Tribolium castaneum: one gene and its partner. The main gene of each other region encodes a partner of the protein of the gene in region 2 in a complex. Links are inferred from orthologs where the notes say so. Each region holds a gene or a part of one and is shown on either strand. Other genes may lie near its edges.

Evidence for each region.
Region 1: the proteins of Unr (region 2) and polyadenylate-binding protein 1 are in contact, whole or in part, in a crystal structure (PDB 7ZHR), measured with the Drosophila melanogaster proteins. The link is inferred for Tribolium castaneum from reciprocal best matches to the Drosophila melanogaster genes Unr and pAbp. Residues at the interface, in NP_648226.2 of Drosophila melanogaster: Leu843, Glu844, Thr845, Thr846, His847, Asn848, Gly849, Val850, Glu870, Ile871, Leu872, Asp873, Glu874, Thr878, Val879, Ile880, Ser881, His883, Leu902, Ile907, Asp908; in NP_476667.1 of Drosophila melanogaster: Asn184, Tyr186, Lys188, Ser211, Lys213, Met215, Phe225, Phe227, Ala229, Tyr255, Ala257, Arg258, Ala259, Gln260, Lys261.

Annotation. Positions count from the first base shown.
Region 1 is NC_087403.1:5,253,494-5,269,834, reverse strand, and holds polyadenylate-binding protein 1, read left to right. Parts: upstream 1-7,746; 5' UTR 7,747-7,993; coding exon 7,994-8,186; intron 8,187-8,331; coding exon 8,332-8,898; intron 8,899-8,949; coding exon 8,950-10,067; 3' UTR 10,068-10,419; downstream 10,420-16,341. Other genes in the region: siz (IQ motif and SEC7 domain-containing protein 1), read right to left, coding at 1-859, 911-1,159, 4,410-4,666; ScsbetaG (succinate--CoA ligase [GDP-forming] subunit beta, mitochondrial), read right to left, coding at 11,156-12,119, 12,166-12,265, 12,317-12,440, 12,494-12,550; pyrethroid hydrolase Ces2a, read right to left, coding at 13,415-13,554, 13,600-13,814, 13,862-14,318, 14,364-14,526, 14,572-15,096, 15,155-15,379, 15,421-15,531.
Region 2 is NC_087394.1:5,345,882-5,361,685, reverse strand, and holds the start of Unr (cold shock domain-containing protein E1), read right to left. Parts: upstream 14,904-15,804; 5' UTR 14,764-14,903; exon of another isoform or gene 14,708-14,763; intron 7,815-14,707; 5' UTR 7,375-7,814; coding exon 7,281-7,374; intron 7,232-7,280; coding exon 6,918-7,231; intron 177-6,917; coding exon 1-176. UniProt on the Drosophila melanogaster protein: RNA-binding protein that acts as a regulator of dosage compensation in both males and females.

The DNA of each region.
Region 1 (16,341 bases), on a different chromosome or scaffold from region 2:
GGCGGGTGCTTGTTGTTCATTGGCTCGTTCTAGTGTGTAGGTGGATGTGCTAGTGTTGGAAATGTTCCCTAAACTGGTCTCTAAGGCCGGTTCGGCGTATTCCGAAATGTGATTTCCTTTGCGCTTCCAGACTGGCGATCCGGAAAATTCACATTGCACGCGTTCAGTCGATATACTACTGTCACTACCGGAACTTTGGACACTTGACAACGAGCCGTTTTCGTTTGTTTTGGTCAAGCCGTTGCTTTTGTGGTGTCGGGGGTCTCCGACCGAACGAGAGGTAATACTTGAGGTTCGTTTAGGTACTTCTGGTGGTACTTTTCTACTGTTCAGACTGTGGCGGCTGCGAGCGTAGCCGTTTGTGGAAGTTGTAGGAGTACTACAAGAACTGGGACTTGCAGTCACTTGGGTACCTAGCGAATCCGATTTGGAGTCAGCGGGTGAATAGTAGTGTTGGAGGGAGGATGAGGAATAATTCTCCCAACACACTGTAGGAGTCCCCGACTGACTCCTAGGTATTGGCATATTGTCAATATTACGTCTCTCGCGCAAAGACATCGATCTAACTGGAAGAACTCTCATATTCGAGCAGTCGTGTCCTTCATAATTCCTCATATATTCGGGACACTGCTCAGTCTCACCTATTGTGCTACGACAGTCTTCGGAATTTGCAGGAATTCGGCGACTAATACGTTTCTCGGCTTTGGCCATTGCTGTAATTGCTGCGAATTTTTTAAGTAGTGTGTATCGTCTGAACGCCCGTTGAATCGTGAGAGCTGCATTTCGCGCTTTAACACCGCCATATTTCCGTTCCAACACTTCGATTTGTTTGTCGAGAATGTCTTGCGACAGCTCGTATCTAAATTTACCCGAATCAGTTTTCTCTTACATGACACTGGAGCGTACTTACGTTGTCTGAACCCTCGACCTTTTCAAGACATCTCCGTTCCGTAAAGAACCCTTCTTATGAAGAGGCTGCGATACATTCACGTACGTCGAGTTGTTAGGGGAGGCACGGGAATAGATAGGACTGGGGGTTGGAGTACTGTAGTTTTGAGCTTGGACAAAACTGGGAGCCTGGATGTAAGTCTGTTCTTGAAACTGGTCGGATGAACCCATCGAATTCACTATCTGGGACCTTTCCATTTTCGGTGGAAAGCTGAAATTAAAACAATACAAAAATAACAACAAAAACCTAAATTACTGTTCACAACCTTGAAAAACTGAATTGTGAACTTTCTGTTATTGACCTGTTGCCACGCAAAGCAACAAAAACCATTTTAATGTCACAACTATTAAAAACCCAGTAAACCAGATAGAATGAAATGTCATTAAAATAAAACAAGAGAAATTTTACATTTCTTTACCCAGCACCACAGTGTTGAGGCAACTACTCCAACGATACATAAAAACACAATTAAGCATTTAACTAAATGAACAGACGACTATCACATTACAAAACGCCCCTTTGCGCAAATCCTAATTCACAGAAAAACTTTACGGAAATAAAAAATACAAAAATGATTACGTTTCAAGTCGTAATTAACTGAAGCCGGGAGTGGTTCAAGGGCTAATTACAAATTTATAAGTTTTAATAGGACACGCAGGATGATTCTATCCTTATGAATAAAACAGACTTCAAGAAATTCACTCAACTTTGCTAAAACAGTAAATACAGATTTTTTTAAATGAAAGTCCGTATTTGCTTTGATTTCCCAACTTGTCGGAAATCCTTGAACCGTAAAGTTTCTATTTTAAAATTCTTATGAGGCATGTACCGGGGTAGGTCAATTTAAATATTTTAATTAAATCTGATGATTTGTCTGTATTATCTACAGGATGAGTGTAATTGCTCATTTATGCATAATTTAACGTAAAAAATTTCACCTTATCAATAAAAAAATTAATTAGTGCAAAAGCAAATAAAAATCCTTACTTTCCCACCAAAAAGCCCGATATGCAAATAATCATCTCGCAAACACATGCACCAAAACAAAATAAACAGAATTGAACTGCAGCAGTTTCTCGAGTGCTGTACACCCTAAGAAGGCAGCTGGCGAACTGAAATCAAGATGGTAAATGGTTCCTAAATCACAGGTAGTCAGATGAACCATAAAGGAAAAAATAAGGTCGAAGAAGAGCAGCTGGCGCATTTGGTAAATCGGGCATCATGTGTTTCATCATCAGAGAAACTATTAAATTTTAAGCAATGGACGTGACATAACTTATAAAACCTGAATTCATTTTGACCAATTGGTAGAAATTCATTGACATTATTAGATTAGTCATAAGTTTAATCGTGCCGAGGCTTCAAATTAGAAATAATGCGACAATACCATGGGAAATAAGTCGGCCGTCAAAATTCAACAATAGCACGTATCTTTTTTCGACATACAACCATACTAGCCTTGATTGCAGATATCCAGGAAACGACATTTACCAAAATTATACATTCATTTTTTATCATCCGAGATAATCACACAGGAAAAAGATACAGAAATGTCGATGCTTAGTCTACAGGGTAAAGGATGTTGAATTTCCTTCGTTACTTGGTTTAGGTTTGGATCGTTTCAAGAAGGTACATATATCTTAAAACCGACACGATGCACGTGTCCGGCTATCACGTGATGCAACCCCCAGGGGAGGCGAGGTGCAAGGGAGGGGCCGGCAGGTGGCGGCCCTAACGCATGTGTGGCGTGTGGTGACCGAACGAAAAGCAGATGTTTTTCGAATACTTTCGTCCCCCTTTCCTTCCCTTCGAGAAATCGAAAAGACTTCACTTTTTAAATGTAAAAGGAATTAAATATATTGTACGGTTTGCGCGACCTCGATTATTTGCGGCAATTTCCGCCCGCCTAATTCACTAATTTGTTTCAAAATTAGCCGCATACGGATGAAAAACATTCAAATGGCGTCAATTGTCTTGTTTTTTCTAATTCGAGCCGAAACGAAATTAATTATTCTGGGGATTCGGTGACATTGCTTGAAATCATAGAAAGTTTCGATAAATTGCTGCCATTGCATAAGCGACAAACTGGTCACGACGTTACCGAACAAGTGCAAAAAATTACGTTTACTAATTCGATAACAAATATTGCCATATTACGCTAATTGCTCCCACTTTGGACTTGACGGATGTGACGCAAATCTCGCCAAAAACCACATGGAAAATTTTTAAATCGGCAAAGATCAGATTTTATGACGATGGTCCGGGTCGAATTGACATTTAGAAACGGAAGTACGGCACACGATCGCCGCATACAACAACAAACGATAAAGCATTTTATGTGTAAATAAATTCAAATTAGGAAAAAGTACGTTTATTTTACATTCTAAAATTGCGTATAATTAAACGATAAAGGAGAAAGTTGTTCGAATATTCAACATTTGTGTGCTATGATAAATGGCGATTTTCTAAAAAAAGAAAAAACACATCTGTCAGGTAGGTGACATAATACGTTTAAATGTTACAACTTTTGAATTTTGATGAGGCACTTTACTAGATTGTGCCGAAATTAGAGCGCGTCATGTATTCTAGTGATTAATTAAGCGTTAAAAATTACTATTACAGTTAATTCAATTAATTTACAGATCTCGATACATTAATCTGATTTAATTAACGAATTAACGCGTACAGCTACTTTTTTACTTCACTCAACCTTGATTTCATTAGAGAAAAGTGTGTTCAACTACTGCCCAGTGCAGTGGCAGTAGCATGCAAGCAATTATTATAATAAGGTACCAACATTCCAGTTATCAAAGTAGGGTAGAGACAATTAGCGGGACTTAATGTAGGTATAACGATACCCTCATTTCAAACACCGTTGCCACATTTGAGCGACGTTGTCACACACCTGTGACGTAACGTGACGTCATTTTATACATCAAAAATTGCTAAAAAACGATGCTTTCACTCGCAAAAACGGAAACTAACGTGACATAAAATGCAGCTTACAGTTAAACCAATGTAGGTTTAATGGCGCATTAGCAGCCTAGGTACAAAACAAAAATAAACTAATACGGTAGGCGCATGTTAATTACCCCAACGGTAAATGCACAAGGAGGTCCGTGCCCTGATCACCCACCTATAAACAATGATTCATTCCAAATGACAAAAACGTGGCTTATCAATAATTTCTAATTGTGTCGGTAATGAGTGAGTAAGGGTACGGAGATCTATTGTGGCTGTTAAAGTACAATTGAAACAATTTAGCAATCAGCGTCATTAATCATTTAAAAGCGACTTTTTCCAAATTATCCTGACAATGGAAAAAACGCGAATCTTGTTCAGGTCTGTTGGATAAAGCAACATAGTTACCCAAATACGTACTTGTGAAAAATTGAGCTCTTTAAACATATACTTAGGTATGACATTGAGAAATGTGAAATGTTATTTTCCGGGACTTTACCTGATGACAGTGACATGTTTCCGGAAAGGCGGTAAAGTGTGACATGCGTCGGTAACAGTGACCAGTCTACTGACATGTTGTCTTCTGGTGGTGCAAACCACCCTGATCCGTTCTTGTTGTATTCCGGAGCGTCTAACTCTGACAACAGTTCTATCGCACACATCAACCGTATGCACAGGGTTCGACCTGACATGTTCGGTTCTAACTTGACTCTGCACGAAGGGTTGGGGAAACCCCCCTGGCGACTGTCCACGCATTACAAGCACTCACAATTCACGTACCATGATTGCACTTGCGACCGGATTGAACGGCGATAGTAAAAGTAATCGTACTTTCTACTTTTGTGTCGATCACTGGTGGTGGCCGGAAGCACTAGGGTTGTTAAATCGCGGGTTTTGTACACAGTTTGCGGATTACAAATGTCAGCTGACCGTGCCTCAGCACAGACAACCGAATGGAACGATCGGCACAGTTAGAAGAAGGCGAGCGGGGCTACAGCCTGACGTCACTTAGTCACAGTCCTTGGTGTTACATCACCACAAATAAACACCGAGGCAGATCAAACCCTGGTGCAACCTAAACCTGGCGCCCCGACGACATGTGCGACTCTACTACACGACCACAAGCCTCAAGGCTGATGCACGAGCAATTACCGCAAACGTGTGGGTGCTTGCCAATACCAAGAAACGCCAGCTAAAGAATCGCCTCAAAAACGACAGCGCGTTATAGACTAGCCTGAGGATATCCGTTCACTTTCCCTTATTTAGAAATCAATACGCCGTTCGACTGTGGCATATATGACACTTTGTGGGGACCCCGAGCGCGATTTCCGCCAAAGAGTGCATCCTCGAGGTTAATGACACCAGGACAGCCCCCAAATCCGACCGCCGCCTCCCTAATCCCATTATCCACAAAAACAAAACCTCCAAACAGGACTACCAACAAAACGCCAATTACCTTAATTTAATAAAAACCATCGACTTATTATCTTCTTGACCAGTGTGAACGGTCGGCGTCGCGACGTCGCCACGCATGCGCACAGAACCAAGTCAGTGGGAGGCGTCGTTTATGACATTTTACAACATCCTTGTCCCAGAAATGTACAACAAAAAACAAACAAACGCAAACTTTGCAAACAAAACACGACTGCCACTTTAAATCATTTGACGTTTCATCAATGAAACTGCGACCGATTTATGACAAGGGTCGCATCTCACCCTTGGAGGGATTTCCCCATTTTTTAATTATCGCAATAAATAAACGGGTGTTTGATGCCGTTTTCTCACCTTTCATCTTGCAACCGTTTCAGTTCCACCATTTCCAGCTCGAACCTCAGATTGCTGTTTTCACACAGCAAAAGATCCCGCTCGCTTGCAACTCCATCCAGTTCCCTCTTTAGCCGAATTATCTGGTCCCGTTGTTCCCGTATGATGGCATCTTTTTGGGCCAATAACGAATTTATATCGACTTCTATTCCTGCCATTGCAGGTCTCCTACTGTTCACACACACACGATCCTCAGTTGTTACGGTACCGTCCAAATTTTTAATCTGACGGGCATTTTCCTCCAGCAACGATTTGGTTTTTCCTTTTTTCACACAAGTTTTTCAAAAAAATTATCACATCTTATTCTGAAACGATATTGACAGACGAAATACAACGCGCCGCACTGTTCCTTGGTTTTTCTCACTATTATTCATCTGTCTCTCTTACGTCAGGAGCGAGAGCACAGAACAAAACGGGATGAACAAACCTACACACGTTGCCCCATCTGGAAATCCCCTCCAGTAACACTTCCAGGATGGTAACTTAGCGACTTGTCTTACCGGCCTACCACGAATTTCCGCACAAATTGCCGATAAAACGTGATTTCTCACACGAAAATGGGTGACTAACTTTGTTCACCTGCCTAATCAGCACAATAGTGCTTTGTAGATAAAAAAATCAGATAAAATGTTAATAACAATTACCATACATGGCCACGTGAGTAGTTGCGATGTTGCCACATTGCCATGTCCACAAGAAAATAAAGCACTCTTTGTTATTTTTGTTTGTTTTTAATGAAACAAGAGGTCCTCATGTTTCCAGTTTTAAATATTCTTAATCTACATCAAAAATCAAGACAACAGAAAATTTATTTATATTTATTCATTTTTAAACAATTTCTGTAATATATACAATTAATCTTGAATTTTAACTAACTCCGAAAAACTATTTTGTATGGATTTAACACAAAATAAACTTAGCCGATTACAAAATGAAGGCAAAAATTATATAAAATGTAATAACATTCATCTTGTTAGTCTCATCAGTGTTTTCTTAATCTTTGTTATAAAATATGGTATATAAAATCTATTTCTTCTCAAATATTTGTTATCTGACTCTAAAAAATTGCGTAAAAGAAAAAAGCACCTGTTTGAGCAAGTAAATTTACTCTCACTGAATTTTTGTTTAAACTAATAATAATATAAATCGTTATCATATACTTGTGGCAGCAGATAAGACCGTTACATATCGAAAAAAAATATTTACACACCGATTTATCAGTGAGAGTTGGTACTTAATTTTTTTAATGTGTTCGTTAAATATGAATATTAAAGCAAACTACTCTTAAGACTGTTCGTAATGCCATTAGTTGCTACCACACCATAGATGAATCACTCACTACTTCTTATCTTAATGATTACGAAAATATGTGAAAAATGAAGCTTTTTGGACAGGTCTCATCCTAATTACTTATTAAGTGCTACTATTAATATTATAAAAGACATCCGAATGAGTTAAAAAAATTGTTTTAGAGAGTTAGATTTCTTGAAAAAAAGAATTTTGAATTTTATAATCGAAAACATAAATTAAATAAATTTCACGATTTAAATGCTAAGAATTTAAAGCACGTAACGATTTCCGTTTGAACGTCCACAATTCGTTCTTTCAAATATGCCGCCACAAGTTTGACATTAGAAATTAGATTTCCGTTAGAAATTGTGTTCATATCAGCCTAAATTTGTAACAATTTGACTATAAAAAGTGTTCTGTGGTCACGAAAATTTAAGTCGTATTTTTATTAAACTTTTAAAAGTTTTATAGGAGACGGTACGTGTAAGAATTTTTAAAAATAGTCATCTTTGTCAACGGTCAAATTTTATGGTTTGGCAAATTTAGCTCGATTAAATTGAGATAGACGTCGGATTCTTTCTGAAACGATGTATGAAATCAAAAATGTGCTTTTTTTGCTAAATTGGTCGCAGGGTCCGTTAAAATTGATGTATTATTCAATATTTCATCACATGGCAACACTGGAATCAGTCATATCCGGCTTGTATAAGTAGTGAAAATGCTGTAACGACTCCATTTTGTTACTGTTGTTAGTGGTGTAAGCGTGTGGTTGTGTATCTTCTTAGAACACACAACCCACCTAAAAAAAAGCTAAATAATATTTACAAAAATCCAAAAAAATTATAAAAACTCATTAAAAACCCCAAAAAAATCGAAAAACAGTGGAAAAAACGAAAATAAACGGTTAATGTATATTTTTCGTTTCTTATGTTAACGCGTAGCATATCTGTGTAGTGTGCAAGAACGAAGATGAATCCGGGTGCTCCAAACTACCCCATGGCGTCTCTGTACGTCGGGGATCTCCACACCGATATCACGGAAGCAATGCTTTTTGAAAAGTTTTCCACTGCTGGACCAGTCCTTTCGATTCGCGTGTGCAGAGATTTGATAACGAGGCGTTCTCTCGGTTACGCTTATGTGAATTTCCAGCAGCCCGCTGATGGTAAGTGCGAACCCAGTGCCCATTTATTTGTTCCATATGGTACCCGACTGCCATTTAATATTTAATCCGTTTTGATTGTTAACCTTCCCCCACCACGCTCGCAACATTGAAATTTCTTAGAAATTGGTAAATGTTAATGTTGCAGCCGAACGCGCTTTGGACACCATGAATTTTGATTTAATCAAGGGCCGCCCAATTCGCATTATGTGGTCCCAACGCGACCCATCCCTTCGTAAGTCGGGAGTAGGAAATGTTTTCATTAAGAATCTAGATCGTTCCATTGACAACAAGGCTATGTACGATACGTTCTCAGCCTTTGGAAACATTCTCAGTTGTAAAGTAGCTCAAGACGAAAACGGCACCAGCAAAGGCTACGGCTTCGTCCATTTCGAAACAGAAGAAGCGGCTAACAAGTCGATCGAAAAAGTAAACGGCATGTTGCTCAACGGAAAGAAAGTCTACGTTGGCCGTTTCATTCCACGTAAAGAACGTGAAAAGGAGCTTGGCGAGAAAGCTAAGCTCTTCACCAACGTTTACGTCAAGAATTTCGGCGAAGACTTGACTGAGGAGCAACTGCGCACCATGTTTGAGAAGTACGGCAAAATCACCAGTTACAAGATCATGAGCAAGGACGACGGCAAGTCGAAAGGATTCGGATTTGTCGCCTTTGAAAGCCCTGAAGCCGCTGAGACAGCCGTTGAAGCTTTGAATGGTATGTTGCTTGTTGAGAGTGGCCGATTTTGTTTCTAATGTCTTTGTTTAGGTAAGGAAATCATCGATGGAAAGCCTTTGTACGTTGGACGCGCCCAGAAGAAGGCCGAGCGTCAGCAAGAATTGAAACGTCGCTTCGAAGCCTTGAAGATGGAGCGTTTGAACCGCTACCAAGGCGTGAACCTCTACGTGAAAAACCTGGACGACACAATTGACGATGAACGTTTACGTAAAGAATTCTCTCCGTTTGGAACCATAACATCGGCGAAAGTAATGATGGAGGACAATAGGAGCAAAGGCTTTGGCTTCGTTTGTTTCTCGTCGCCGGAAGAGGCCACAAAAGCCGTGACCGAGATGAACGGCCGGATCGTAGGTTCAAAGCCTTTATACGTGGCCTTAGCGCAGCGCAAGGAGGACCGTAAAGCCCACTTGACATCACAATACATGCAGCGTATGGCGAACATACGCATGCACCAAATGGGTCAGTTTATCCAGCCTGGAACGTCAAGTGGGTATTTCGTTCCAACGATCCCAGCCCCGCAGAGGTTCTATGGGGCGGCCCAGATGGCCCAGATCCGCACGAACCCGCGATGGCCGGCTCAGACCCCCGTGAGGCCCGGAGCCCAGGGCAGCGCTAACCCGTACGGTACCATTCCGACCACGTACCGAGCCGCGCCAAGGCCCCCGAACCAGTCCGCCGCTTTGAGGAGCAATATCAATGTGCCAAGACCAATAACCGGCCAGCAGCCACCGAATATACAAGGACGACCATTAGCTAGCCAAGCCGTTGTAGCACCTGCAGGTAATCGCCCAACTACTTACAAGTATACAGCAAATATGCGTAATCCTCCACAAGGTTTAGGCATCAGCAATGCTGCTCCGGTCCAGCAAGCTGTCCACATTCAAGGCCAGGAGCCTTTGACAGCCACCATGTTGGCAGCTGCCCCGCCACAAGAGCAAAAGCAAATGCTGGGTGAGAGGCTCTTCCCACTTATTCAACGCATGTATCCAGATTTGGCCGGAAAAATCACCGGTATGTTGCTCGAAATTGACAATTCGGAACTTTTGCATATGTTGGAACACAATGAATCCCTCAAAGCCAAGGTGGAGGAAGCCGTTGCTGTCTTGCAGGCCCATCAAGCCAAACAGGCTGCTATTAAAAAAGAGTAAACGGTCGCTTACTCAGACAAATAAATATAATAAAATGAAAAAAATTGCAAACATGTCTTACGACAAAAAAACTTATATAAAAATCGAAACATCATCATAAATGAAACTATTATTATGCGTTCGTGATTTTTGCTTGTTTGCAATTTTCACTATCTTAGTTAAATAGTTATTTCTTTGGTTTTTAGTTACTTTTCGCATTTTCCAATATCCTATTAATTGATGTATCTGCAACTTACTGAATTTGTAATATAAAATTGTACATTTCATATTTATTTTTCGTTCAAATTAATTTCTCAATCTTATGTTACTCTCTTGGTTTTTGGAATTTTAAAATAATAAATCTTAATAAAAACACATTCTTTTATTTACCACTTCACTACAATAAGATCTAAAAATAATATCTAAAGCACCAGAAATAAAATTCAAGGTAAGTATTGAAAGTACCAAAATAATTCAACATTTTAAAACACTAAAAAAAAGATCTAAGCTTACTTTTTCAAATGCCCAAATACGATTTTAAAAAATGATTGCGATTTGTCCAAGGAACAAGGGTGCTGTATTTTTTTTAATGACTTAAACTAGGATATAAGATGAAGGAATACTGAAAATTGTTTTAAAAAACTTGATTAATCGAAAAAGCAATAAAAAAACAGTACCGTAAAATTTTCTCACAAAAGTACATAACTTTTATCAAGCAAACTTCAAATTTTATAGTTATATTCACATTACCTTACCTGACTGCCTTAAATACAGAGGTGGGCAAAAGTATGGAACGAGTTTTTTCAAAAATAAATTTTCGAAATTCTTTTTAGTAAGTATTAGTACTTTTAGTATTTTAGAGCATAATCTTTTATCAAAAAAATTATCGTAATAGGGTGCCATTTGAAGAAAAAAAATTTTGAATACTTTAAAACTATTATCTGGGATATAATGGTGTAATGAAAAACGAATAGTATATGAGAAATTTTTATTAACCGAAAATACAATATCAAAACGAAGTAATGAAAACATTGGTCATTTGAACAGTTTTTTGTGCTGTTGACTAATGAGCAATATCAACAAATTAACACTTTATCAACAAAAACACGTTAGGCATTCTGCACCGCTTTTTTGGCGGCATCGTCGAGATTTTCAGCTGTTTGGATATTCATGCCTGAATCCTTGATAATTCTCCGGGCCTCCGCCGCATTCGTGCCTTCCAGTCTGACAATCAAAGGCACTTCAAGCTTCATCGCCTTCATTGCACCCACGATTCCATTGGCAATCGTCGCGCAATTCACGATCCCGCCGAAAACGTTGACCAAAATACATTTAACGTTCTTATCAGACGTGAGAATATTGAACGCGGCTTTGACCTGCTCCTCGCGGACGCTGCCCCCGACGTCGAGGAAGTTGGCGGGGTCGCCCCCATGCAGCTTGATGATGTCCATGGTGGCCATGGCCAAACCGGCGCCGTTGACCAAACAGCCGATGTTTCCTGTCATCCCGATGTAGTTCAGGTTGTATTTCGCCGCTTCGACCTCGCGGGGGTCGCTCTCGGTGACGTCCTCCAACGCGAAGATGTCCTTTTGGCGGAACTGCGCGTTGTCGTCGAAATTGATTTTCGCATCCACTGCGATCACTTTATTGTTGTCCGTTTCGACCAAAGGGTTGATTTCGAGCTGAGTGGCATCGACGGCGAGGAAGAACTGCCACAGTTTTTTCAGCTCGGCTGCGGCCAAACCCTTGAGGGGCCCCTTGAACTCCAGGAACTCGGCCACCTCATTGGCCATACTATCGGTCACCCCCTTGTGAATATCAATGGGGATGTTTTTGATCAAATGGGGCGTCTTCTCAGCCACGGCTTCGATGTCCACGCCGCCTGCGGGGGACGCAATTAAGACAGGCCCGTTCTTCTGCCTGTCCATTAAAATGCAAACGTAGGTCTCCCTCTGAATGTTCACACTTTCGGCAATCATGATTTTTTTCACCTCGATGCCGTCCTTGGGCGTCTGCTTCGTGATAAGCCTGTGGCCGAGCATTTTTTTGACGATATCGTCGACTTCATTGCGTCTGAAACAAACGCTCAATTTTGACAAAACCACAAAAAAAATTTTACTTCTCAGTGACATGAACCCCGCCTTTAAAACCATTGGTAAAGTGGCCTTTGCCGCGACCACCCGCCAGAATTTGTGCCTTTATTACGTATTCTTTCACATCTGCAAAAAATTAAACAGTGACATAACCCCAACTTTTATTAACACTTTTACTAAATTTATCGAACTCGGAGCATCCCTTATCATCAACCATGCAAAAGTCTTGCACAGCCACCCCATTTTTGCGCAAAAGGTGCTTGCTTTGGTACTCCAACAGGTTCAAATAACGCACCGGAACCTGAAAATGATTGAGGTTATGTCATGTTTTTTGCGAATTTGTAAAAAAGTTACGGAGAATTGTTTTATCTGAGTCGGGACTTTTAAAAGAGAGTTCCAGAGGGAAGACATTGTTTGGTTTTCGCAATAAAGGCACTGCACACTTATCACTGGTATTTATCTAATTGGGGAACAGCACGAATGCACAAAGTCCAAATGTCTGAATGTTTTATCTGAAATAATTGTCCATAAAAAAAGACGGAGCGAGAAATTGCTCAGTGACGCAACTTTCGGCCAATTTGTGGGATAATTAAGCAAAACACACTCCTTAAGTTATTTTATATTGATCTAGGTTAGGTTTTTCCCATAACTCTAGGAAAAAAGCATTGATTTTGATTTTTGGTAAAGGGAAGGTAATAAAAACGATTTTTCGATTTTCTTACGCAAAAAACTGTATTTTTTATACACATATTTATACTTTTTCCACCTGTGCTAATTAGGTTTCTAGGTTAAGAATGCGGGATTTTATTTTAAAACAAACTAAACGGGACAGATAAATATCTATTAGTTTTTATTTTTAGTACACATTTAATATTTTTAATAACTATTTACAAAAATAGGCGTTTTGATTTAAATAAGGGGCTGTGCTCGCCATTGGTGGAATCTATATGTCATTGTACATAAATGGCCAATAACAAACTAGATAAGTATGTACAGTGAAGGTCACAAGATAATTATTTTTGGACACTATTTTTACAAAGGTGATGACAAAAACAATAAAATTGTTGTAACGACACATCTACAGTCGAAATATATTTATAAATGCGTTTGTTAAGCACCGATATGTACATATTTTCCCGTCTACCTGATTCCGCTGACATTTATAAATAGAATTAAAAAAACTTAATAGTCCTGTCTTGTCGCCCAAAAACGTATCACAAGTGATGAGACATCTAAATATATTTAGTTAATTGAAAACTGGTTTGCAACTTATTTTTAATATCCCATATGAAGATGATTTTCCCGCTCCCTCGATCGCTTTTTCAATAAAACAATGCAAATTAGGAGCAAAGCGAGCAGGGCGATCACAAGAGCCACCAAAGTGTACATTGCATGCCGGAAACCTGCAGCCGGGTCTAGAACTTACCAAATAAAATGCAACTTTGTGAATTAGTTATTACCTGGACTATTTTGTAGCTCCCGCGGGATGTTATTCGATAAATTATTCTTAATATTGGCCATTTTTGGCACGAGCTGGTTCCAGAACAAAACCCTCTGGACGCGTTTTTTATTTTCTTCATTTATGTGGGAATTAACCGGCCCAAAATTTTCGATATAATAGTCCCCCGAGGTGTATTTTCGCCACGATCTGACCTGATTGTTTAGTGTCGGCTCCCTGAAATTTTTTCCTAGACTTTGGACTATTCATGTTGGGGGAAATACCCAAACATTATAAAGTTGGTCCATAACTGTTTGATTTGTCGACTCAAATTCATTTCGTTGGCGTTGAACCGCCGCCTGGCCACTTGCTTCAGCAAAATCGGTCCAAATACCAAGAGAAGGTCTGTGGTAATGGTCGAATCGGTTGTATTGAGAACAAACCCAACATCATCCATAAAATAAACATAAATTGGTTGCACGTATGACGAAATCAGGTGCGAAAGTTGCAAAAAATGTGGCGCTTCCACTTTGGCCTGAAACTCAAAATCTTTCAACTCGTCGTAGAGGAGTCTAACGTCCCCTTGGTTCGACGAGAAGTACTGCCACCTGATAAGGTCATAAATGTGGTCTTTGTTGGACGCCCCGAGTTTATACAAACGCGCAATTTCGGGGATTTTCACCTTTTCGACGTATTGTTGTAACTGGGTGAAGCCCTGACTTGCGAGTTCCAACCACTGCACTAAAAATAAGGGTCAAGGAGGGACGATTGTCAAAAAAACGTTACTAAATTGCTCGTCGGTGATAGGTTTCGAAATTCCGGTCAGAACGGGAACTTGCCAATCTGTGCCTTCTTTGAGCGCATTTGTGGGGTTCAAAGGGAGGTACCGGTTATTTTCCGGTAGGAAGGTGTCCACAACGGGCAAAAATCTATCGTTCCAGTTAAAAGACTGCAAAAACCGATGAGTGTCTCGAGTATGGCTGTCCGAACGCACCTCTGAATACTCAGCCAGAGCTTGTAAAATATGTTCCACTTTCTTTGATCGGAGACATTTAATCGGCTGCACGGTGTAAGCGTCGCAACCTAACATCCGAAGTATCTGCTTGGATGCCACCACCGGGTCATTTTTCTCCTGCCAGGTCGCTACGGCACTTCCACTCGAAATGATAACCCTTTGGAAGAACCCGGCGGTCCGCGGCGAAACCATATGAAAGGTCACGCTCACAGCCCCCGACTGGTGGCCATAAAGCGTGATTTTTTCGGGGTCGCCCCCAAACTGATTGATATTTTGCCGGATCCAGACCAGAGCGAAATACTGGTCCAACAACCCCAAATTTCCGCGCGCTTCGGCCGACCCCAAGCAAAAAAAGCCGAAAACGTTCAGTCGGTAGTTGAGCGTCACGACCACCAAGCCCTCAGTCGCCAAATCTTGCCCGTTTATCGGAAACTCGCTGCTTTGGTAAAAATTCCTCCCTTCGAAAAAAACCACCACCGGCAGTGGGGCGTACAGGCCTGCGTTCTGGAAAAGTCGCCACAAATCCATTTGTGGAAATCGACAAAAATGAAGACTCTCGAACCTCAGGCGACCAAACGTTGAGGTAGAGACAGTCCTCCTGGTCGTTAATTCCGGGCTTTGGGGGCAGCTGGGGGCAGTGGGGTGCGAAACTGGTGGCTTGCCGCGTTTCGTTCCACGGGGGGTGTTTCAGAGGTGGGGCAAATCTCAGATCGCCTGTCGGGGGCGCAGCGTACGGAATGCCGAGGAACGCGTTTACGGTTTTTCCCGTGTCGGTGATAATCCTGGACTGTTAGGGGGTGAGACAGGGTTTTTTGGACGGTGACTTACCCCTTCCAAAAGCCCTTGTTGTACTCTAACTGACGGGTGTCTCTCACGCCAATTTTGGCACTCAATGAGATTCAAAAAGATAGAACAAACGATCACTTGTGTTAAATACATCACGATTTCGCGTCGAAAATTAAATAAATTTATTCTGTTACATTGTATTTCGTCAATGTTAAATCGCTTCAGCAATGAAATGGTACATAACGATCATAACAAATTTCATGAGTGTCCATGTATGTGCTTCCGGTTTTTCCCTTTTGTTGCGCTTCCGGTACCATATCGAACTGTACCATACGCGAAATATTTTATTTACAAACAATCCTATTTTCACGAAGACTCGCTGTTTCATTGTTATAGTTGTGATTCATTCGCAATTATTCATTTTGCTAATTCTTTAAAATTTGTCAAGCTATGACTAAGTCCAGACGAATAAAATTCAAAATTGGCCATTTTCCAATCAAATACTATGAGTTTTTTGTGGCCAAAAGTTTTACGAATATTGTCTTACTACAAATCTAGAGACTAATTAGGAATGAGATAATTTGCATTTGTATTATTTATTTAGTATTAGGGCTAGACTATGCGTCATTTTAATAATAAACTTCTTGGGTGCTGTTTTTAATAAAAAAATCACACTTTTGAAAGTAAGTTTATTTCATCTTCAATTATTCCGCCTTTCGAGATGTTTGCGAATCGCGACCTGGTTTTACGGCGATAAGGGAAGCGAATAAAAATGTTTTTTATGGAAATGGGATAGTGCGCTAATTATCAATAAAACTTGATCCAATAATGGTGTGATAAAGTTGTTTGTGAAGACTTGGACAAGCGAAAAAAACAACATATGTTTGCTGTAATTGTGAGATTCAAGATAGAATGTAAATTCTCGCGTAATACTTCCATATAAGGCTCTGAAGCTTAGTTTTC
Region 2 (15,804 bases):
TCCGGTGCTATTTTTGTAACGGCGCTCGCTATCGGTTTGCCGGTTCGTCTATCGTACGTCATTTCAAATTCCACCGGATCACCAATTTTCAAATGTTCAATATTACCACTGAACTGACTAAAATGGAAAAAGAGACGAGCCTGTCGTTCGCAGCACTGGATGAATCCGTAAGAATGCTAGGAAAAAGGAAACAATTGAAATAATAGCAAGTGGTTCACACTATTATTATATTACAAGTGCGATTCTCTCACCACATTATTACGAAATGACGAGACTGCGTTGTCTGATTTAAAAAAATGCACTCGATAAGATTCCATTCAAACTGAACTACAAACAGTTATATTTTTAAGTCTTAATAAAAAAAAACTAACTTTTACTCGTCTTCAAGCTGCTAAACCGCAATTAATTAGCACATAAATAAACCGAAAATTTAGCAATTGAACAATTTTAAGCAATGTTTGAGATAAAAACGCAGGCTTTGTGTAAAAAACTGCTAAAACTAGATAGAAAAATCATTAAATTGGACCGAAAATTGTCGTTTTTTCCACGTTTTACATCCAGAAACGTCATTCCTTAGTAAAAATTAGTGAAAAATGAAACATATTACATACAAAATCTTTGTAGTTATGTTTGCTTCTACGAACAATTATTTCAAAAAATTTGTTAGAAAAAACGTAAAAATCACTGAATTGGATTCAAGCGCCCTGCGAGATTTTGTAAAAATGAAACAAAAAATCAATGATAAAAATTGCAGTCTATTTTTTCGAACCTCTTACTAAGTTGCACAGTCAAAAAACCAATTAATTTAAAAAATTTTGTCAAAAATAAGAACAAAATCATGAACTTCTTTAAGCAGATTTTCAGCACATTTTTCGGCAAAAACCACAACTCATTAGCAAAATTTCCACATAAACCAAAAATTCACTAAATGGTTCAAAAAGTGGACAACTTCAGGTAACGTTTGGGATAAAAACGCAGATTTTGTGCGCGATATTACTAAATCTAGATGAAAAATTATTAAGTAAATTCGCTTTTTTCACATTCTTCCTCCATAAACAACACTATTTAGCAAAAGTTCGAGAGAAATAAACTGAGCTAGCTCTCACACATCGTGCGATTTTTTTAATTCTACAAGCAATAAATATTTCGCAATATTTCGTTAAAAAAAAAACAAAAAATCGCCGAATTGTGTTGAAATAGTAGTATTATTTTCGCATTTTCAGAGCATCTAAACAACACGTTTATCGCACAATAATAACGTGTTACTTGCGCCTTTTCTAGGGGTCAAAATGAACAAGTTTTTTGCAAGATTTTGTAAGAATGGCATAAGAAATTAATAAATGAATTACGTTCTAAATTGCTGTATTTTTCTTTTCTTCGAAATTCTTACTACATGGCTACTAATTTAAGAAATTTCGTCAAATAAAACAAAAAGTAATAAATAAAATAATGCACACTTTAAATTTAAGTCCTAATTTGCTGAAACTTTTTTTCTACGAGAATAAATAATTTAAGAGAATAATTTTAAAACGCTTAACTTCTACTAGATTCAATCTAAAATCATAATATTACTGTGCATTTATCAGCTAGAACTGCGAATAATTAGCAAAATTTAATCACAGATAAAGCGAAAATTTACCAAATACATTTATATAACATAGTTACAATCTTAATGAACGTTTGAAATAAAAACACAGACTTTGTGCAAAATATAAACAAACTTGAATAAAAAATCACTATAAATTGAGTCGAAGATGACATTTTTTGTCGTCCTTTTCACGCATTTCCACCAGAAAATAAATTATTTATCAATAGTTCGAGAAAAATAAGTCGAAAGCAGTGATTTCGGAAAATTTTGTAAAAAAAAACAAATCATCAAACTGTGTTAAGAGGTTGTTTTTTTACGTAATAATTTGTAAAAATGAGATAAGAAATCAATAAATTAGGTTCTAGAGTATTTTTCTCTATTTCTTACTTCTTACTAAATGGTTCGGTCAAAAACGAATTAATTTCGAAAATTTCGTCAAAAACAAGACGAAAAATCACAAATACATAAAGTAATGCACACTTTACGTCCTAATTTCAAGCAGCTTTTGCTGTAACTTTTTTCTAAGAGAATAATTAAAAATGCTAAACTTCTTTAATCAAATTCGATCCAAATTGTATTATTTTACCGAAAATTTACCGAATAGTTCGACTAATGAAGTAATGACTAATGAAAATGACTCTATCTTACAAAATTCTTCATAATTTTCCCTCAAAAACGACATTATTTAGCAGCAGTCCGAGAAAAATAAACCGAATTAATCTCACAAATCGTGTGATTTTTTACTTTCATTATTTCGGAAAATTCCGTAAATCCTCCTAATTTCAGGTAATTACTTCTACAAAAAGAATTTAAAAGCGCTATATTTCCTAACCAGATTCTGTCTAAAATTTTTCTTTGATAACAAAATTTATTTAAAACGAAAAATTGCTAAAAGTTAGCAAAAATTCGTTAAAAAAAAAATTAAAAATACAACGAATTTGGTTGAAATGGTGTTATTTTCGCCTTTTTCTCGCGAAATTTTGAAAAAATAGAATAAGAAATCAATAAGTTAGATCAAAAATTGCAGTATTTTTTTCTATTTCACACCTTTTACTACGTTGCTCAGTCAAAAACGCAAATAATTTGAGAAACTTCGTAAAAACAAAGCAAAGAGTTTCGAACAAATAAAACACACACTTTAAACATTCTTATTTCAAGCTACATTTGCGTTCCTTTTTATTACAAAAAAATATAAAAACGCTAAACTTCTTTAACCAGATATTGAATCTAGATAAAATTATATTTTCAACACATTTTTCAGCTAAAACCGAAACTGATTTGATTAGTGATTAGGAAATTTCGTCATCAATAAACCGAAAGTTTAGCAAAAAGTTCGGATAAAAACGCAGATTTTGTGCAAACTATTACTAAACCTGGATAAAAAATGAAAAAACTGAGTCAGAAATTACATTATTTTGCCGCTTATTTCACGTTTTTCCATCATAAATTCTTAACCAAATTCGGTTTAAAATTATAAGGTATCACTTTGCCTTTTCCAGCACATTTTTCAGCTAAACCCACAATCATCCTAAATAAACCGAAAATTCACCAAATAGTAGTTCACAAAATTTAGTTTAAAAAAGGCAAAAAAATTCTGAGAATTTGTTTGAAGCGGTGTTATTTTCGTAAGTTTCTCTTAAGATTATGTGAAAAAAAGGAAATAAATCAATTTGATGAAAAATTGCTGTATTTTTCGTCCTAAATAAAGAAAACAGTTACTAACAAATAAAATAACGCACATATTAAACGTCCTAATTTCATGCAACAGTGCTGTTTATTTCTTTTACGAGAAGAATTTAAAGACGCTAAACGTGTTTTGCATTTACGTAGAACATTTTGAATTACAATTAATTTTTAAATGTGAATATCTTAAAACCAAATGCAATCACTAAAACCTAATAATTTCAAAATAAACAAAAATGACAAAATTTGGTTGAAATGGTGTTATTTTCGCCTTTTCTGGTGAAATTATGAAAAATTAGAATAAGAAATCAATAAATTTGGTCAAAAATTGCCGTACTTTTTTGTATTTCAGACCTTTTACCACGTTGCTCAGTCAAAAACGCAATTAATTTGAGAAACTTTGCAAAAACAAGACAAAGAGTGACGAACAAATAAAAAACACACTTTAAACGTTCTAATTTCAAGCTACATTTGCGTTCTTTTTTATTACAAAAAAATATAAAAACGCTAAACTTCTTTAACCAGATTCAATATTAAATTATATTTTCAACACATTTTTCAGCTAAAACCGAAACTGATTTGATTAGTGATTAGGAAATTTCGTCATCAATAAACCGAAAGTTTAGCAAAAAGTTCGGATAAAAACGCAGATTTTGTGCAAAATATTACTAAACCTGAATAAAAAAGTAAAAAAATTGAGTTAAAAATAACATTATTGTGTCGCTTTTTTCACGTTTTTCCATCATAAATTTAAAACGCTGTATTTCTTAACCAAATTCGGTTTATAATTATATGTAGGTATTACTTTGCCTTTTTCAGCACATTTTTCAGCTAAACCCACAATCATCCTAAATAAACCGAAAATTCACCAAATAGTAGGTCACAAAATTTAGTTTAAAAAAGGCAAAAAATTCAAAGAATTTATTTGAAACGGTGTTATTTTCGCAAGTTTCTCTTAAGATTATGTGAAAATAGAAAAGGAAATAAATTATTTTGATGAAAAATTGCTGTATTTTTCGTCCTAAATAAAGAAAAAAGTTACTAACAAATAAAATAACGCACATATTAAACGTCCTAATTTCATGCAACAGTGCTGTTTATTTCTTTTACGAGAAGAATTTAAAGACGCTAAACGTGTTTTGCATTTACACAGAACATTTTGAATTACAATTAATTTTTAAATGTGAATATCTTAAAAACAAATGCAATCACTAAAACCTAATAATTTCAAAATAAACAAAAATGACAAAATTTGGTGTTATTTTCGCCTTTTCTGGTGAAAATTTGAAAAAATAGAATAAGAAATCAATAAGTTAGATCAAAAATTGCAGTATTTTTTTCTATTTCACACCTTTTACTACGTTGCTCAGTCAAAATCGCAATTAATTTAAGAAACTTCACAAAAACAAGGCAAAGAGTGAGGAACAAATAAAAAACACACTTTAAACGTTCTAATTTCAAACTACATTTGCGTTCCTTTTTATTACAAAAAAATATATAAAAACGCTAAACTTCTTTAACCAGATTCAATATAAAATTATATTTTCAACACATTTATCAGCTAAAACCGAAACTGATTTGATTAATGATTAGGAAATTTCGTCATAAATAAACCGAAAGTTTAGCAAAAAGTTCGAACATTGAACAAATTTAACCAACGTTTAAGATAAAAACGCTGATTTTGTGCAAATTATTACTAAAAAATGAAAAAATTGAGTTAAAAATTACATTATTTTGCCGCTTTTTTCACGTTTTTCCATCATAAATTTAAAACGCTATATTTCTTAACCAAATTCGGTCTAAAATTATATGTAGGTATTACTTTGCCATTTTCAGCACATTTTCCAGCTAAACCCACAATTGATTAGCAAAACTTCATCCTAAATAAACCGAAAATTCACCAAATAGTAGTTCACAAAATTTAGTTTAAAAAAGACAAAAAAATCAGAGAATTTGCTTGAAACGGTGTTATTTTCGTAAGTTTCTTTTAAGATTATGTGAAAATAGAAAAGGAAATAATTGATTTGATAAAAAATTGCGTATTTTTCGTCAAAAATAAAGAAAAAAGTTACGAACAAATAAAATAACGCACATGTTAAACGTCCTAATTTAATGCAACAGTGCTGTTTCTTTTCTTTTACAAGAAGAATTTAAAGACGCTAAACGTGTTTTGCATTTACGTAGAACATTTTGAATTACAATTAATTTTTAAATGTGCATATCTTAAAAACAAATGCAATCACTAAAGCCTAATAATTTCAAAATAAACAAAAATGACAAAATTTGGTTGAAATGGTGTTATTTTCGCCTTTTCTGGTAAAATTATGAAAAATTAGAATTAGAAATCAATAAATTAGGTCAAAAATTGCCGTACTTTTTTGTATTTCAGATCTTTTATCACGTTGCTCAGTCAAAAACGCAATTAATTTAAGAAACTTCGCAAAAACAAGGCAAAGAGTGAGGAACAAATAAAAAACACACTTTAAACGTTCTAATTTCAAGCTACATTTGCGTTCCTTTTTATTACAAAAAAAAATATAAAAACGCTAAACTTCTTTAACCAGATTCAATATAAAATTATATTTTCAACACATTTTTCAGCAAAAACCGAAACTGATTTGATTAGTGATTAGCAAAATTTCGTCATAAATAAACCGAAAGTTTAGCAAAAAGTTCGGATAAAAACGCAGATTTTGTGCAAACTATTACTAAACCTGAATAAAAAAGTAAAAAAATTGAGTTAAAAATTACATTATTGTGCCGCTTTTTTCACGTTTTTCCATCATAAATTTAAAACGCTATATTTCTTAACCAAATTCGGTTTAAAATTATATGTAGGTATTACTTTGCCTTTTTCAGCACATTTTTCAGCTAAACCCACAATCATCCTAAATAAACCAAAAATTCACCAAATAGTAGGTCACAAAATTTAGTTTAAAAAAGGCAAAAAATTCAAAGAATTTATTTGAAACGGTGTTATTTTCGCAAGTTTCTCTTAAGATTATGTGAAAATAGAAAAGGAAATAAATTATTTTGATGAAAAATTGCTGTATTTTTCGTCCTAAATAAAGAAAAAAGTTACTAACAAATAAAATAACGCACATATTAAACGTCCTAATTTCATGCAACAGTGCTGTTTATTCTTTTACGAGAAAAATTTAAAGACGCTAAACGTGTTTTGAATTACAATTGATTTTTAAATGTGAATGACTTCAAAACAAATGCAATCATTAAAGCCTAATAATTTGAATAGAATAATTGACAAAATAAACTTTAAAATTATTCATTTCCTTAAAACCAAATCTTACAATAAAAAGTAATAAAATCATTATCTTTGTAATTTTACGTTTTAGTTCATGTGAAAAAACTGTGTAAAAACTCAAGAGAAAATCGCACTTTTCCCGCTGTTCAGGCAAAAGCCCGTATAAAACGTCGCTCTCTTGTCACATAAACATAATAAACCGCTAAAAGCTGTCGATCAGCCGTCGTTCAAATCAATATTTCACGATCAGAGTCAAAATTTCCATGCGGTTACTGGCACTTGAAATAAACGCTTCAAAACCCCCACAGCGTATAAATCACAGCCTGTCCTTTATGTAAATTTGTACGCCAGTGTGAGTGTGTATAAATGCAACATCATGTTTACCAGCAGCTTTTCGATGATGCCCGTTTCTCTGGTGCCCAAATTCGACGAATTGGAGTCGTTGTAGCTGCTGTTGTTTCCGTTGGAGAAAACGTTGTTGCTGGTGATGGTGCTGTCTCCGCTGCTGTTGAACATGTTATTCGAATCGAGCGAGAACGTACCAATCGGAAACCGAGAATTTGTATGTGTGGTACTTGATGATCCGTACAGACCGTTGCTGAATGATGAAGACTTGTCCTGCAGCAAAGGAAAGTCTTGCCCGAACCGTGAATTAGATGTGGAGCGATTTGTAAAATTAAATGCTTGAGATGCTTTGCCTACAAGAATTTTTTTAATGTTTTATTAAGTGTGTGGGGTGAAAATTACCGTTGCTGGTCATTGGTTTGAAATCGATGATGGCAGAGTCTTGATTCATGGTGTCGGGCGGCTGGAAGGATTTCCACTGAGGATTGGTGGACATAGTCTATCAGTACAATGATTTATCTTTTCACTTCTTATCGTTTCTTAAGTGTAGTGAATATCACAGAATGGTTAGTGGTATATGTAAATACCCCACAAAAGTCAATTATGGCAGCCGAGACCGTACTAATAAAATTATCACTCCTACTTTGAAACCAAGTCACAAAGGTACAATTATGCTCAACAAACTTCACAATAATATATCGTTATTACAATGTTACTAGAAAAACAATCCAATAGGTATAAAAATTACTATCCACAGTCACTCAAAATTTAATTATAACAGAATATATAAATAAAAAAATCCTCAGATGTCTTCAATGCGTGCTGGGTGCGTATTGTGCTGTTATGCTCATAATTTGTCAAGGCCAGTGGTTGCGCTGATACTGGTTTACTTTAAATTTTCTATGCTAATTTTGAAGTTTTTCTTAGTTACACAAGCTGAAAAAAAGACAAAGCAGCATTAATAAAACGAAAACACACATGTTTTAAACAAAATTTGAAAGGTTTTAGTCTAAATCCGCTGTTTTCGTAACAAAGTCCAATAATTGATAGTACGACATTTAAATCGCTAAAAGAAAGCTCGATTTTTCATAGCTTGTCAGTGTATTAATCGGACTTCGTTTGAAAACTTTTTTTTTAAATAGCGCCCTTACTTTAAAGTACATCGGAAAATCAATTCATTTAGACTGTTAATAATAATTAATAAATAACGAAGTAAGAATTTTAAAGACGAATCATTAGTCAATTAAAACATGAGCACTTTACTACACAAGATAGTAACGACTAATGATAGCTACTAAGACACAAACATTTAGCAAAATTAATTAAAATATGCGCCAAAAAGATAGTTCATTAAATAAAAATAAAAAATAAAACATAACAAATGTTTGTATTTTTTAAATAAAAAAATCTAGATTCTCAACTTTTATGTAGTTATACAGGGTTATTCACATAACCGGAGTCTTATATTTCACAAATAAAAGTCCAACACAAAATACAGATAATAAAAGTAACTAGACGCCTGTTATGAATATATGATTTAATTATCAAATTGATGCTCTGTAAAATGTATTTCGTGTTGTGTTTTTACCTATTCAAATTCGAAGTCTTATGTGAATCATCCTGTGTATGTAGCGATAACACTCTAAGTCCATTATTTTTAATAAATAAAATTATTTACAAAAATTGTAGATTTTGAAATTTTGACCAGCGTAATGTTAGAGCGACAAAGTGTGAAGTCCAAATTATTTATAAAACAATAGAAAAAAATATTTTTTTATTCTTTCACTTGCAACGATTGGGTTTATTCTATTAGAAATTGTAAAAATCCCCCTCAATGAAATTAGAAGACTTTTTAAACTTTCGTAAAATTTATTTGAATGTAACATCACCATGTATTGCAAGAAAAAAATGTGAAGATGGAAAAAACCAATTCAAATTATTAGAATTATTTGGTTTCAGTTAAAAAAAAAGACCAAGATATAGAAAAACTACATTTTAAAACAAATTTCACAAAAAAAACATTAGTAAAGCGAAATACGATAACTTGATGACACAGCTTAAATCAATACCAGGGGAAAATCAGAATTATTACAGAAATTTTCCTTATATTCAAAATGCTGAAAATTTTCTGAAAATTAACAATTAACCTTCTTACTTAATATATTTAAATTGTCAAAAAAAATATTACAATTTCAATGCATTAAACTTTAATTTATTTTAGCTTTTTGCATATTGAAAAAAAAACTTTATATGTTCACTCTGTATATTTTATTACCTATTAAAAAAATTCATTTCAATAATTTATTAATTTTATTAACAATTTTTTTTTAATTTACCTCAATTAAAAAATTCAATTCAATTCAAAAAAGTAAACCTAAGCTTTCCAATTTACTGACGTTAAATATGGTATAAATGCTTTGAGAAAAAGCATTGAAAAATTAAAAACTAACTGTTAAAAAAATAAAAAGTAGATGAGCCAAACCAGAATTTGTTGACATCAATCAGGTTACATCAATTGCAAGCATTACAAAAGCGTGCTAATATTTATATCACTTTACAAGATTACATCCACGAACGACCAACTTATTTATTTGTGGATGTTCCGATAAAATACGACCTTGACTCGCCTTATCTACCATATTTTTAAAGCTTTTCTCTTTTGAGAAAAATAACAAGACTAAAATGTCTCAAGATTCTTATATTTTTATCGCTTTATGTTCAGTGTTTGAAGAACTCTGAATATTTCCTTAAAAATTCAGTTCATCATCTCAATCCAAATCCGGGATAATGTCAGGAACGTGCTTGCTTTACATTTGTTTCTAACGATTCGATAATAACAAACTAAGCGGAAAAAATTCGAATTGAAATCGTGTCTCCAAGTACCCTTGAAAAATATCGGCAGAATGAGATATCGTACCCTTAAAACTCCCAGAGATTTATTCGAGGTCGTGAAAACGGAAATTGCGATTAAATAAAGCAAATAAAACCAATTGCCCGAGTTTGTTTTTTACGAGACAACTGGTGGTAAATGATAGAGACATTGCACACTCAGCTGATTATCCAACAACGATATAAAACGGGGGAATCTAGGCCAGGAGCTCGTTTTTTACGAATTTATGGCGTAAATCTCGGAAAATCTTCAAGTAATAATGACTATAAATAATCTTAAAATTTCCATTCGCATTACGAACGTCACAGTCATAACTAAACAATTAACGAACAATAAAACCAAACCGAAATTGAAGTCGCTGTTTTATTAAAACCCCCGTCAATCATCCCTCTATTAGCACCGTTTATTTTGTCGGCTAATGAATCAATATTGATTTTGCTTGCAGTAAATTATGAGTGGAGGTTTTTAGCAACGAGCAGACAACAACACGAATGCCAAAAAAAAATAAATCTCATCGATTTTGTTCATTATTATTATGCGCTGCCTCGATTAATTAATTTACTTAATTGCTGACAAGTTGCAATTTCATTAAAATCGTAAACAAAATAATCGAGAAACTCATTAATTTCCACTGTTAATTACGGGTTATGGATTTCATATTATTAGAGGAGGAAAAATGACCAACGTAAATCTATTAACTCATTTCCTTTGTTTATGAATTCGGGCGAAAATCTGAAACAATGCCAAATGAGAACCGACCGCAGACTGAACGCTAATGAAGATTATTAAAATGACGAGAAACAAAGGGGGGTTTTGGACCAATTAAATGACATTTAAATGACTTTTATCCTGTTTCAAAGTAAGTTGAATATCACGTACGTAATTACAAATAAGCCGGCAATTTTACGATTTATTTATAGAATGTCACAACAGATCACCTGCAATTTTATTCCATTGAAAACTCTTCGAATAACAACATTTTGTGGCTATTTTTGCACACTCACAATGAAAAATAACCTTCGAACTCCTCCTCCAATTAAAAAATTCAAATTCTCCAGAAAGTGCCTCGAGGTCATCAATTTTAAAACTTCTTTTTTTACCCTCCTCTTCAAAGCTTACGTCTAGTCTAATTTTACGCTCGGCAGAATCTACAACAATTAAAAAAAAACTTTGTTCGGTTTTTAATTTCGGCACCTAGTGATTTATGTAATTTGCGAATCCTGCAACGATAACCTCGTTATTGCACAATTAGTGTTTTTTGTCTGTAATAATTTAAACCTTGACCAATTCCTTCGCAAATTTTTAAAACTTGATACAGCGTTTGCAACTTAACAATAAAACTACAAAAATTAAATTGCTTGACAACCAATCTAAAAATATTAAATAATGCGAAAACGTGGTAAAGTTTATACAAGCTTGACAAAGTCCAATCTATCGCTGGAAAAACTTCCACTTCAATTTAGAGCTTTTTCTTCGACAAAAATTATAACACAAAAACGTGGAAAACAAGGAAAAACACAACAGACAAGTAACTTATTGATTAAAAAGTTTCGATTGTTGAACACTTTAAAAGTTATGTAATTTAATTAATTTCTCAGGTATTCAAAGAAAGTGAAACAAAGAAAAATAATAAAATTGTGATAAAAAATAAAGGAATTTCTTTGATAAAAATTGTTATCCTTAAGACCAGTTATCAAAAGCTTGCCTTGTGATAGCAAAATAACCTGACATTAGTCATCGCCTTGTCAGTCAAAATATTTAAAATATTAGAAAAATCAAAATATTAATGTATAACAAAATCCAAGTGCAAAGTTTCTATCTGTGCTGTTAACAATGGTATAGTTATTATTTTTGAACAATTAAATATTCATAGTGTTTCATAAAACAACAATAATTTGGAAAATTAACAAAAATAATAAAATTTAATAAAACATATGCACAATGAAACATAAAAAGAAACATTTTTAATATTAAACCTTTAACACTCAAATTATTTAAAATGAAACAATAATCTTCTATTGTGATTTAATATTGCTAAAAAAACAACAAAGAACAATTATTTTGAAAGAGAATATTACACCAAAAATTTTAATGTTTACAACTGTTGCTGTTTTGCACTGAGCTATTTAATTCATGATGCATGACGATGCATGTTCTTTGTCATACATTATACAGGGTGAGCCTGTTAAAAGTACTTTTTACTATATCTTAAAAACTAATAATCGTAAAAAATTAGGGTTTACTATTAAATACACACTGTTCAAAAATGATTGTTTATCAAGTCACCTATAAAAAAGAATACACACCAACAAAAATCACGTAAATATAAAACACAAATTCTACACTTGAAACAATTTTACCGAAAAATACAAAAAATTGTAAAAAAAAATTAATCAAAAATTTGACAAAAATGACAGTACCCAGAATTGAATTTAAATTGCATAGTAGGCTTGATTAACAACCATTTTTGAACACATTGTATTTATTTTTTTTTTCTCTCTAGACGTAAACTTTTTCAAATTTTTTCTACAATTTCTTTTAATCAAAATAAGTTAATATTAATTCGCTATAAATATTTTTTTAAATAATATCAATTAACATTCTGAAACAATAAAAAAATCCTCGAACAGATCGCTTTTTTATATATCGTTATTCCTTTTTGTGTAATGACGTCATTTTTATTTTTTTTACAACTGTCAACTGACATTTTTTATTACAATTTTACATATTACACATTTATATCTTTCTAGTAAGTATAATGAATTTAAAAAAAAACAACAAAAAATAAAGAAGAAAATAAAAAACCAAAAAATTACAAAGTTTCTTTTGATGCTTGTTTTTTTTTATAAGAGATAATTGTTTTTCGTTTATTTCTTTTTGTTTTGCTGTCATTTTAAGTGTTTTCATGATAATTATACAAAAAAATATATAAAAAACAACTGACAGACTATAAAGTAAGTTAAGAATAAAAAATAAAGCTCTTAAAAGTATACCATTTAAAACAGTAAACAAAAATGTCGGAAGTCATTAAAAAAAAGAATGACGTAACTGTCACTATGATGACAAAATTAAAAAAAATAAATCGACCTGTTCCGAATACTTTTTTGGAAAATTACCTTATAGCAAAGATAACCACACAAACATCATTTGTTTCTGAATGTCATCAGAAATAATTAAAAAAAACAGCGACTTGATATTAATTGATTCATTTTTATTATATAGAAATATTCTAGAAAATTCAAATGCATAGAAAAAAAATGCTTTTTGCGACACCCACTTTTTTTATTTTATACATAACAGGAAAAATTACATTCCTCATTTTTGCTATTAAAACCTTAAACATACAATTTTGACAATTATTTTTATCGACCACTTTACAGGTCCGTCAACGGTAAAAAATACAAAACAATGGCGCTTGTGTGAACATGAATTCGCTGATATGAACATTAATTTTTCAACATTGTATACTCTATAGTGTGAACAACATAAGAGACGGATAAGATAAACACGTAATATTTATAGAAATTATTTAATAAAAGCAGGTACCTGCTTAAAGGATTCGACTTGTTCTTGAAGTCGTTCAAGTCATCAAGTCGTCTAGTTGAAAATCATTTTAACACACTTTGTACATACTATTTGTTGCTTTAAAAAATACATATGAAAAAGCCATTTTACTAAATGCTTCCGTAAAAGTAGACAATAATTATTTCGTATTTTCCAGCAAATAAAAAATAAAAGTTCTTGTAATAAAATAATAAAAAACATTGTAATTTTATTAAACAGTATTTCAAACCAATACGTATGTGTATAATGGGCTCGATAAATAAACAGATGCAGTATTTCGACAGTCCAGAAACGTACAAGTGACAATGACAAACGATTATTTTATTAAAAAATTAAACTAATAAATTGTTCTATGATCTGGTTTATATTTTTTAGTCTAAAGGAAACTTTAAACCTCTATTTCAAAACAACTTTGCAATTTAATCCCGACCACAAACCACAACAATTTGATTCATTGTTTCACAAACGTACTAACTTATAATTTATCAGAACTCGCTAAATACTAGTATTTTCGTTTATTTATCAAATTAATGCTTTTTATTAAATTATTTTCGTATTTGACTGAAAACTTCAGTCACAGACGTCCGCCTCTATTTATAATTGATAAAAAGAGCGAACACGTGAAGATGTTAAAAATAAGTTACATATTTACAAACTCCATGTTGGTAATGTAATTCTCTGTAAAATTTTCCACGACTTTAGATAAACGATCATGCTTTTTTACTAAAACAAGAGAAATTAATACAAAACTGAAGGCAAAGCAATAGAGCGCCGACTCCCATCCACCTATCTCTACTTTATTAATAAGCTCGTCGGTAATTATGGTATGCTCGTAATTTCTATTTACAACAGGTCTAATTTAATTAAAAAAGTGCGATATTTTTGCTTCGGCGGCACAATAGCCCTCTTTAACTCGCAAATGAGTGCTCGTTAATGAAGTGCCTCTTTGCACCCGTTGTAAACAAAAACAAACATAAAAGTTGTTAATTGGGCCCCTCGACGTAATAAAACATTTAAATATAGCCCCCAGTCCGCGGCAAATGTTTATCCCATTAGCTAAAACAGCTCCCGATTTAGAACCATGTGCATTTGGGGCAAGGGGTAAAACAACGGTCAAATTATTGATTTGCTTACAATCCGTCTGTTCAAAGTTTCAACAACAAAGCCGGGCCGGCTCTGGGCGCGCGAGGGCCCCCCTCGGGGGCACCCCGTGGACAAATCAGCCCAAACCCGCCGATTACTGCGTAGATCGAACCGCACAAAAGATACAAGAACTAAGGGTTAGAGGGGCAAGTTTCGCACAAAAAACTACCATTTCAAGCGCAAAAAACAACGCAAATCGAACGTATGGAGGGTAATAACGAAAATTACGTACTTTTTCGACCAGTTTTGATGTTAAGTATACGAAAATTTACAAAAATTTCAACTCACCACGACACAGCACAGCACTGACGACATGCCGCCATGTTGAATGTCAACATGAGCGAGAAAAACAAAACGAACCAAAAAGGAAGGCCGGTGATTGGTCGGCGCCCGTTGCCAACCTAACGTGTTAAGAAAAGTTTAACTATCTACGCGGCCTCTGGTGGTGCATTCGAAGTATTCAAAATTTTACTTTTTTTCACAATTATCAAGCAAAAAATCCTAACAAAACTATAAGAAAAGGAGAATAAAGATGTAGGGTAGAATCTAAACGAAAATTTGGTGAATTTAAAAAGAACAAAGAAAAAGTATATTAGGAGAGTATACTTACAGAAACAATGCTTAAGAATAATCCAGAAGAGAATTTGGAAAATGTAGAAGTATTTATAAAAAACTGACAAATATTACAAAACGATTCCAAAAAAATAACTTATGGAATAATCTAAAAAAAAGATCTAGAGTCAGCTTCAGAACAGATTCAGAAAAAAATCTTAATAAAAATGTAATCTAGAGAAGAGTAAAAAAAATTATGTACTAGAGAATAATCTGGAAAAAAATTAGAGTATAAGTAAAACAACAAACAAGTATTTTTCTTCTTGAGAGAGAATATAGAAAAAGTGACTGATAAAAAAATTTAAATGTAGTCTACAAAATAATTATAAAAAGTGTATAATGAAAAATTTATACCAAAATCAGTATAAAAAACGTCTCAACTGCAAATGTATAACATAAAAAAATCATTGAAAGGTACAGAAACAAAAACAATAATACTGACAAAACATAATGTATATAAATAATAAGTAAATCAAAATTATCAATTTACAAACAGTTTTAAAAAATAATCAAAAAAAAACTGAAAAATTTAGAAAACAGTACAGAAACCAAAGAATATTATTAAATAAGGAAGAAAAATTCTAAACAAAACTATACATGACAATTGAAAAGATGTAAACTGTAGAATGAAAACAGAAATTCGGAAAATGTAAAAATATATATAAAAATAATGTAACAGAAGAATATAGAAACATTGGTAAAAAAATCTAGAAAAAG